2 linked regions of the Oryzias latipes genome follow. The protein of the gene in region 2 interacts with the protein of the main gene of each other region in a pairwise test. Links are inferred from orthologs where the notes say so. Each region holds a gene or a part of one and is shown on either strand. Other genes may lie near its edges.

What was found. The genes of interacting proteins can lie anywhere in the genome.
Region 1: the proteins of fmr1 (region 2) and nufip1 interact in a two-hybrid assay, tested with the Homo sapiens proteins (2 studies listed by BioGRID). The link is inferred for Oryzias latipes from reciprocal best matches to the Homo sapiens genes FMR1 and NUFIP1.

Annotation. Positions count from the first base shown.
Region 1 is NC_019860.2:15,376,228-15,380,932, reverse strand, and holds the start of nufip1 (nuclear fragile X mental retardation-interacting protein 1), read right to left. Parts: upstream 3,384-4,705; 5' UTR 3,287-3,383; coding exon 3,055-3,286; intron 2,975-3,054; coding exon 2,901-2,974; intron 1-2,900. Other genes in the region: nop58 (nucleolar protein 58), read left to right, coding at 4,042-4,086, 4,425-4,501, 4,587-4,639. UniProt on the Homo sapiens protein: Binds RNA.
Region 2 is NC_019868.2:25,371,431-25,376,097, reverse strand, and holds part of fmr1 (synaptic functional regulator FMR1), read right to left. Parts: intron 3,135-4,667; coding exon 3,082-3,134; intron 3,001-3,081; coding exon 2,871-3,000; intron 2,346-2,870; coding exon 2,274-2,345; intron 1,902-2,273; coding exon 1,753-1,901; intron 1,680-1,752; coding exon 1,586-1,679; intron 1-1,585.

The DNA of each region.
Region 1 (4,705 bases), on a different chromosome or scaffold from region 2:
TGGGCCTAAGTACCCTGCCCCGCTCCATTCTGATGCATCTACTTGTAGACGACTACTTCCATCTACGTCTTCATCATTTTTTTTCGCTCAGGCTGTCATCTGGCTCAAAACTGTACGGCTGAATAGCTCCAATATTGCTCGAGGGTGTGTGTGTGTGGGGGGAGGTGCATACGTTCCTATTTCGTTACTTTAAAATGAAGGCAATGGAATTCAACTACCCTGCTTTCGAAACCTAACTCCTTTTAAAAATTTTGAAATCGAGACATCGATCAAACCTCATCCTTTTAAGGCCTTGAACTTTAGAATGATCACAACTTTTGGGACATTTGCTATGGTTTATGAGCTGCATCTGTTCAAAATGTTTTTATTTTTATGCTGTTTACTATATCCGACGATGCAACTGTTTTGTGCACTAAGCTACTATGCACCTCTTGCCCTCTTAAGCTCAGTTTGACACCCAAACTCCTTTACACAGAGATACGCCACTGCAGCACCGACCATTGGAATTAGACATGAAGTGTATTTTTCATAAATGCTTGGATTAGTCCAATTAAACATTTTTGCACTTTGTTATTCCAGTGAACCATCCAGACAAAAGAATTTCCCCACTGTGGGATAAATAAAGTCTTATCTGAGTAATGCATTTGCTGTCATACATTTAAAAATGGTTTCGGTATGGTACTTTTCCTTTTAAGATAATTAGGTGCTCCTTATATTATTAATTGACATTTTCGTGGTAAACTTCGCAAACTTTCCCTGAGTGTAAAAGTATTCTACGGAGCCCGTGTCCTGACATTAAAAAATTAAAATATATCTCGTTCCCACAAATAAATATCTTGTTCGCACTAAATACTATTCCGTTCCCAACACGATAATATTGCGTTCCCTCGAAATGATTAACTCGTGGGAATGAAATAATTAATTTGTGCGAACGCGATAATTATTCACGTCATAAGTCATTCATAAACACGGATATGCTCTCCGTTCGGCCGCAAAAGCTGCTTTCTGCTGTAACTTCTGTGTCTCTGTGACTCACATTTGTTCAAAAAAGAAAAAAGAAAAACAATAATGATCAATTTATTATTGTCTCATTGAATATAAGAAAATTATCATAAGATTTATGATACCTAGACTTGCTGCTTTGCCATACGATTCACTGGACATAGCTCCGCTGCGGAGCTCTTTTGCTTGTCATGCCGGCATTCGGGCAGCTAGCTGGCCGGTAGACAGACAGCTAGCTGATATTGTAGTCTAGGGTAGAATATAGGTATAATAATATTCTGCACTTGTCTTTTATTAACATGCTCTTTAGCAGTCGCTTTACATTCGAAGGCTATTAGGCTACATGGTAACTATCTGGCCGATCATTTATCCTGTTTTTTACGTCATAGATTTACAGCAGATACCTTCACATTTCTTCTGTCTGTGTGTGTCTCATTACATTGCATTGAAGACACGGAGGATGTTTAGAGATCAGATGTATTCATTTTAAAAAGCACAAAAGCCATACTACTTAGCTCGTAGCTTCTAGCATCACATCCGGATGAGAGCAATATCGCAAGGTGCACCTTGACCAATCACCGTGTCCCTGTAACTGAAGTGTTACAACTGAAGTGGCTGTTCGAAATGCATCTTGGGTATGCGTGATGCCTGTCGGGATGTCGCTCACCGCCATGTTTGTAATGCTAAGAGCTAAAAGCTAAGTCCGGTAGGCTAAGCAGCCAGCCTAATCTTATGATATTCTTCTGATTTTCATCGAGACAATAATAGATCGATCATTCTTGCTTTTATTTTTATTCCTATTGAATGCTCACAGAGACACGGAAGTAGCGGCAGAAAGCGGCTTTTGCAGCAAGATGGACGGAGAGCGAACCAGGATGTGAATGAACCCAGACATGACGTGATTACAGCTGCTTTTGTGCTTTTTAAAATAAATAAATCTGATCTCTAAACATCCTCAGTGTCTTCAATGCAATGTAATGAGACACACACAGACAGAAATGTGAAGGTATTTGCTGTAAATCTATGACGTAAATAACAGGATAAATGATCGGCCATGTAGCCTACTAGCCTTTGAATGTAAAGTGACTGCTAAAGAGTATGTTAATAAAAGACAAGTCCTGAATATTATTATTCCTATTCGACCCTAAACTACAATGTCAGCTGGCTGTCTGTCTACCGGCCAGCCAGCTGCCTGAATGCCGGCATGACAAGCAAAAGAGCTCAGCAGCGGAGCTCTGTCAGGTGAATTGTATGGCAAAGCAGCAAGTCTAGGTTTCATAAATCTTATGATAATTTTCTTATAATCATTGAGACAAAAATATTGATCATTCTTGTTTTTCTTTTTCCTTCCTTGAACAAATGTGGGTCACAGAGACACGGAAGTTACTGCTGAAAGTGGCTTTTGCGGCCGAACGGAGAGCATATCCATGTATATGAATGACTTATGACGTGAATAATTATTTCGTTCGCACAAATTAATTATTTCGTCCCCACGAGTTAATCATTTCGAGGGAACGAAATAGTATTTCGAGGGAACACAATATTATCTTGCGGGAACAGAATAGTATTTTGTGCAAACAAGATATTAATCTGTGGGAACGAGATATAGTTTAACTTTTAAATGTCAGGACACGGGCTCCGTAGAATACTTTTACCTGCAGGGGGCAGACTTGTGGGAGTCAATCAAAAGGTTGTGTGAAGCAAATTATGAGGCATTTGTGATTGTTTTTCTCACATGTGAGTGTGAAATACTACCAAGTCTGTAACTGTTAAATGAAGTGACGTCAGTGGCATAACAAAATGGACTCACAAACTCAGGCTATTCAAGTCCCATCACAAGTTTTCATAGATTTTAACCAAGCTCCACATTTATGTAGTTAGCTTTTTTCTCCCATTACCTTTTTCCAGGGCTGGTAGTGAGGTCCACTGTTGTTTCTTCCACCTTGATACCATTCGTATCCAACGTTTGGACCTAAAACAACCCCAGAACCGGGTAAGTTTGATGCCTAAATTGTTTTGAACTTGAAAACAATTTCTGTGAGTTCAACTCACTGTAAGGATGCGTATGTCCATGGTTTCCCCAGCCTGGTTGAAAGCCAAAGCCCCGTGCTGGCTCTTGGTGCTGCCATGCCGGACTGCCACGGCTGGGCTCGCATGGCGACTCGGTCCAGTTCCACATGCCCGGTTGGAAGCCGCTGAAGCGGGGAGGCTGTTGAAGATGCTGGCTGGAGCTCGCTGGGGGGCAGCTGAAGTCCGGAGGGGGATAACGGCCCTCTTCACTCATGTTGTTTAACTAATTACTTTTCAAAAACAAGTTTGTTGAAGCCCCAACTTCCACGCAGTCCCCACATGTGCGTGTTTTGCGTCACTTCCGCTAAAACAGGAAACACTCATTTGTAAGCTAAATGTATCCTAATGATGCATATTTAATGCCTGTACGTATCCTAAATTCTATCAGATGTGTTTTTATTGTACGGATCTGTGTTTTATGTCTTTTAAATTCAGTGTCCGAATTTATGCAAGTTTTTCTGAAGAACCGTCTTGTTGCCATGTTTGGGGTGAACGAACGCTCATTGAAAACGTTTAAAGGAAACATTCTAAGATATGTACTCTGTCAGTATGCTTTTCTATAACAAGTAAAAAATGTCATCAATATAAGGAATAATTCTATAAGTATTTCATCGGTTTTTTTTCTCTGTCTCTTATTTATTTATTCATTTATTTTTTGCTTCCTAAAATAAAACAACTTAAGCTGTTTATTTGCAATTAAGATAGTTTTCAACACCTCAAAAAATCGAATAGCATATTATATATGTATTTTTAATTTTACACGATATACATTTGGATAAATTCCAGGTACTGGTTGAACTAAACGAATTATGTTTGAATTTGAGTTTTTTTCTTTCCAGAGCTGGCAACCCCACAGCTTCCTGTCTGTGCCGCGTGGGGTTTTCGGACGGCAGCGCGTGCTCAGTAAAAAACGTGTCCGCTCGTTGGGGCGAGCACGCCATAAGGAAAGAAACATAGTAAAGCTTCAAAATGTTAGTTTTATTTGAAACCGCCGCAGGATATGCTATTTTCAAGGTAATTCGCATCCCCTTTATTCCTTTTATTTAATATTAAAAACTCAAATGTTATTTGTTCTTGTTGGCTAACGAGTTAGCTTAGGTTAGCATAAAAAAATATGACCGTAGTCTGTTCCTGTTGTATTTTTTTCGAGCTGGAAACAAAAGTGCCGTACAGGTTAAGCTTATTCAATTGAAATCAAATGTGCTGAAGTGAGCTTTTGTTCAAGTTTGATTTTTAAGTTGGTTAGCATTCTGCAGGCCTGTAACCACGTGGGCACTCACCACAACTTGGTTGGTATCGATTGAAACTTGTTAAATTAATTTTATCCCTCCATATTTCTTTTATTTTTGTAGGTTCTCGATGAATCCAAGCTGCAGCAAGTCGACAGTCTTTATAAGGAGTTTGAAACTCCTGAGAAAGCTAATAAAGTGTAAGTGTATATACATTTGGGGTTATCACATTGTAAGTTTATTTTATATTACTGAAAGTATAAATTGAATTCTTTTTGTTTTTAGAGTCAAACTGAAGCATTTTGAGAAGTTCACTGACACAACTGAGGCTCTAGCAGGTACAGCTTTTGTCCAACTGTCCACCTTTACATACATAATTTTCTGTGTCTGATTCATCTACAACA
Region 2 (4,667 bases):
GCATTAAGTTGTTGACTGACAGTTCCTCTGTTGTCACTTATCCCCTCATGGTTTAGTTCTGCCACAGTCCTGGTTCTGTTTCATGTTCTGTTGGTTTATTTATAAAACCTCTTATGTTGCAGCCAGGCCATCTCATTACTTCTGTGTTGGAATTGTCCACAACCAGCGTTCCTGACGGCAAACAAGGCACTCGTGTCGCCAGAAGAGGTCTTAACAACAGATTGACTGGATCTCGGTCGACTCTGAACGTACACCAGAGAAAAAGCTGAACAATCGATGACTTTAGAAGACATAGTGTGTGGTTACATTACCCAACGGTTTTATCCACTTTATTTGAAACCAGAGATTTACATCTGTGGTTTTGGAATAATAGTAACAAGTGGGATATCAAAGTCAATGCTTATTACTGTTGTAAAAAAAATGGACCATTTTACAGTTTAATGAAATGGGAGCCGATATGCTTTTGTTACTTCCCACCTAGGAGTAATTTGGTGAACAAACCTGGTTTTTCCTTTTAGCTGAGATTTAACCCAGAAGTTAATAGATTGTGTGAAATCAAGAACCCAGGATTGCTTTAAAAGTCTTCTTTGACAGCTCTGATTTACTGCCGTTATCACCACAAGTTCAAATCCCAACAGTTACCTTCAAATATCCTTAATAAGTTTCAGAAAAAATGCACCAGGAAGGATGGAAGCATGTGTCCTTTAAACCACTTCCTGTTCTTTCTCAGTGTCTTTTTCTGTCTCCTTACATTGCTCGTGTCAGGTAAGGGAAAAGTGGTTTTAATGTCATTGAAAGCAAGTAAAATGAAACCAAACTTAAGTAGTTTCTCCATCGTTCCGACAAGTTTCAAGTTAAAATTATAATTACTAAATATTTGTGTTGCTGTCATTTTAAATCACAAAACGCATAAATTTGTCCTCCGTGATCATGCCAACAACGGTCTGTACTTCCATGTTTTGAAAAGGACACGATCTACACGTCATTACCAAATCGATCGTTGCTATGATTAAGCAGGAAAAAGTTCAGCCGGTTGAACTGTCAGCACGCGATCAACGGGCACCAAATTTGTACGTAGAGTCCGGGACCGGACGTGAAAACCTGCGTAGCAACATGCGATCACAACGTTCCAGACGCGTAAGCCCGAAATTCTGGTCTACGTCTTTACGAAGACTTTTCATTGAAAGTGGCCGCTTCGACACGAGTCGAACGCAGTCGTTGTGTGAGCACCTTGCGATGTCAAAATTCAAGACTTTTTATTGTACCATTTACAAATTCTGTAAAATGATAATGTTTAAAGTTGGCTGATGGTATTTTTGGGGGGAAATTCTCCACATTTCCTGGTCGTGCACTTAATTTTTGTTATTCTGCTTGTTTTTTGTTTTTTTTTTGTGCTTCTGTGACGAAATAAAAAACCATGAAAGAAAACAAGAAAGAACTAAATAAAAGACAATTTGGAGAGCAATTTCACCACAGATTTAGGGGGATACAAGGACATTTTGGGTCATTGGACATGCAGTGACAAAACCTGATTTAATAAAAACAAAATAATAACAATAATAATAATAATCAAACGGGGACAAACCAAAATGACCAGCTGCTTTTTCTCTGAGTCGTATGTGACGCTGAACGCTCCGACGGCCTTCTTGAAGTCTTTATGCGCCGACTCCTTAGAGCACCTGATGACAAACACAAGTTTAGGGCTCATAACGGGTCCATTTTTAATCTTCCACTGTAAGAGAAGCTGCTCACATCTGACGAAGATCTTCAGGAACGTCCAGTCTGATCTTGAAGAAGGTGTTTTTGGTGGCTGGTTTGTTGGGGTTGACCGGCCGTAACCTCTCCAGCGTTACGATCTCGTTCAAGGTGGCGTCACAGGCGGCGTATTCTATCACATAGAACTACAGAAGAAGAGATCAGACACATTTTACAGATAGGAGCAATGTTCTGGGGTTCAAAGAGGATTTTTAACTTACTTGATTCCCACAATGCACTGCAAAAACTGAATCTTAAAGTATAAAGACCCTTGTTTTATTAAATAAATGGTTGTATTGTTCTGGTAAACTACTCTTATCAAGAAAGTTTTTCAATGACAAAATCATCTTAGTTTGAGGAAACATGATGAGATTTTTTTTTCTATATTTTTCTCACCCCTTTGGCAGATTTATTTGCTAATTTAAAGAAAAATGTTCAAATTTGAAGAATCGTTGACTAATTTTTAAATAGCCTAATTTTGCAATGAGGATCCGAAGGACAATTTAAAGAGAGCTTACCTCCCCCTTTACCATGCGAACCTTCGCCAGCCACCATCCGCACGGCTCTTTGTCGTTTGCTCGAGAGTAAACCTGAAACATACACACACTATGCCGTTGAATGCAAAAGTGGGCCACTCTGACACATGCAAAGAAAATGGCATCCACACACTGATCCAAAAGTCTAAAAGGAAATAAACTCAACTACAGTTTCCTTTTATATAATTCATTTAACAGACTAATCATAATACACTTTAACTTTAAGTCCATAGAAATCCAGATTTTATAGAAAAGAAATGTTATGGGATGCACCATAACATAAATAACAATCCGCTCTGGATTCTGTTCTCAAGTCTGTTTCTGACGCCCAAAAAGTGACCAAAAGCCAAAAAGCTGCTGTGGAATTCACTGATGGAAGCTGAGGTCAAAATATACAACTTTTTTTTTTTTTTTAAACTGAGCTAAAGTGATATTTGAAGTAAGAATAACTTGAATTCATTTGAAACTGAACTTGTTTTATCTCGTCTTGACGTTGTGTTACAGCTTTTTCAAACAACAACTGCACCATTTCTGTTTTAGTGTTTAAAATATCATAAAAAAATCAAATGTTTGCTTTACTTTTTTGGTGACTTCTGATGGATTTCTGGATCTCACCTCGACCTCATCACTTTCGTTGATCTCCTTTCCAGAACCTGCAGGAGGAGGAAAACGGACGTCCTGGAAGGGGATCTGACGTTCTGGCTGCCAACTTGGAACAAAAGCAGGAGAGCGTTTTTAAAGACTCGTAAGCTTCTTATCGTGTCCTTTTCCAAAAGCTGATGAGACTCACTTGTTTTCAAACGCCACAGTGACTGATCCCTCGTGAACATCCTTCACAAAGGCCTACAGGAGGTAGAGGAGGAGAAAGAATCAAACACTTGACTCCTTAAAAAACAAAACTTTCCTTTAGGGAAGTTTAAGCTTTGAGTTGAAAGGAAAACTCCACTGGAGAAAAAAATTCTCTTTTCCTGATGATTTTAACCAGACTTTTTGAGATGCAGGGCATCGTCGTCTGCTTCCATGAGGATGAAGATTAGACCCAGAGGCTTCGGCATGACGAGTTCATCATTGAACGGGAGTGAAAACTGACTTAAACAAAACCTAAAAGGCGGTTTAAGTGCTCACTCCACCCATCTAATCATTTCTACCACAAGGGCATGAAAAAAGGGTTAAACGAGGACGCGTTTTTATCTGTATAGGCAAGTCAAAGCTCGTACTTTGAAAATGATCATTCTGATTTATAGACGCCTTCAGGGCTGACAGCATTGAATACCGAGCAACACGAGCATTTCAAATAACTGCAACTGAATCCACTTTAACAAATAGGCACAGAAAAGACCCACTCCAATGGAAACTGTTTTTAACACGATGTTGATGCTTTTTTCTAATGGAGGACATTGAAAATGGATTTCTGAGTGTTTCTTTATCCAAATCACTGAATCAGGAGCAGACGAAAAAAGCTGTTTGAAAAAGATTGTATTTGTGACGTAGAAAATCCGCTGGGCGGGTCACAAGCTCCATTCTGATGCATCCACTTCCAGACAAATAGATCCGTGTACGTCTGTGTTTAGCTCATCTGAGCTGGAATCTGGATCAGAACTGTACGACTGGACAGCTCCAATACTGCTCGCCATTTTTGTCGCACCGCTAATGTTAAGTTGGGGGTGTGAGGCCCTGTTAGCAAGGAGGAAAGCGCGTAAACAGAGACCTCTCATCAACAGAGAAGGAAGGGGGGCGAGGTTGCTCCCACTCACAAATCGGAGGTGAATTTCTAATGAACTTCTGCCACTTCGCAGAAACTATGTTCTGATTTTGGCTAAAAACTGCATAGTCATAATTAAAAGAGCACTGGGAACCAATTCACAATTTCATGTTTTTTTTTTACCCAGAATTCCCTCTTCCCTCATCACCTGTTGATCAAGAACACATAACTGGGGAAAAGTTCAGACGAGCCTCCAAAGTTTCAATAAAGTGAATACTTTTAAAACGTTTTTATGATATAAAAACGTTCCATAAATTTGATCATTTTTAGGATTATTAAACTTTAAAATGTCTGTTAATGAATTTGAAGATCCCGTCGGGTTGAGCAGCTGCCTGCTGATCAGTCAGCTGAGAGTTCAAATCCCAGGTGGGACAGCCACCGTGTGCTCCATACAACACTTTAGACCCTCAGACATAAGATATCTAAGTGTCTGCAATAAAAATAAACACCTTTGACCATCTTTATGGCTCACATACAGTTTATCACCACGGGAAAAAAAAATTCTTTACCACAAAGACAGCTATGATAAACCTTAAGTACCGAAGAAATCTGTACAAGAAAAAGATGATTCCATGTATAAAACATAAATATGTACATATACATTAGATATTTAC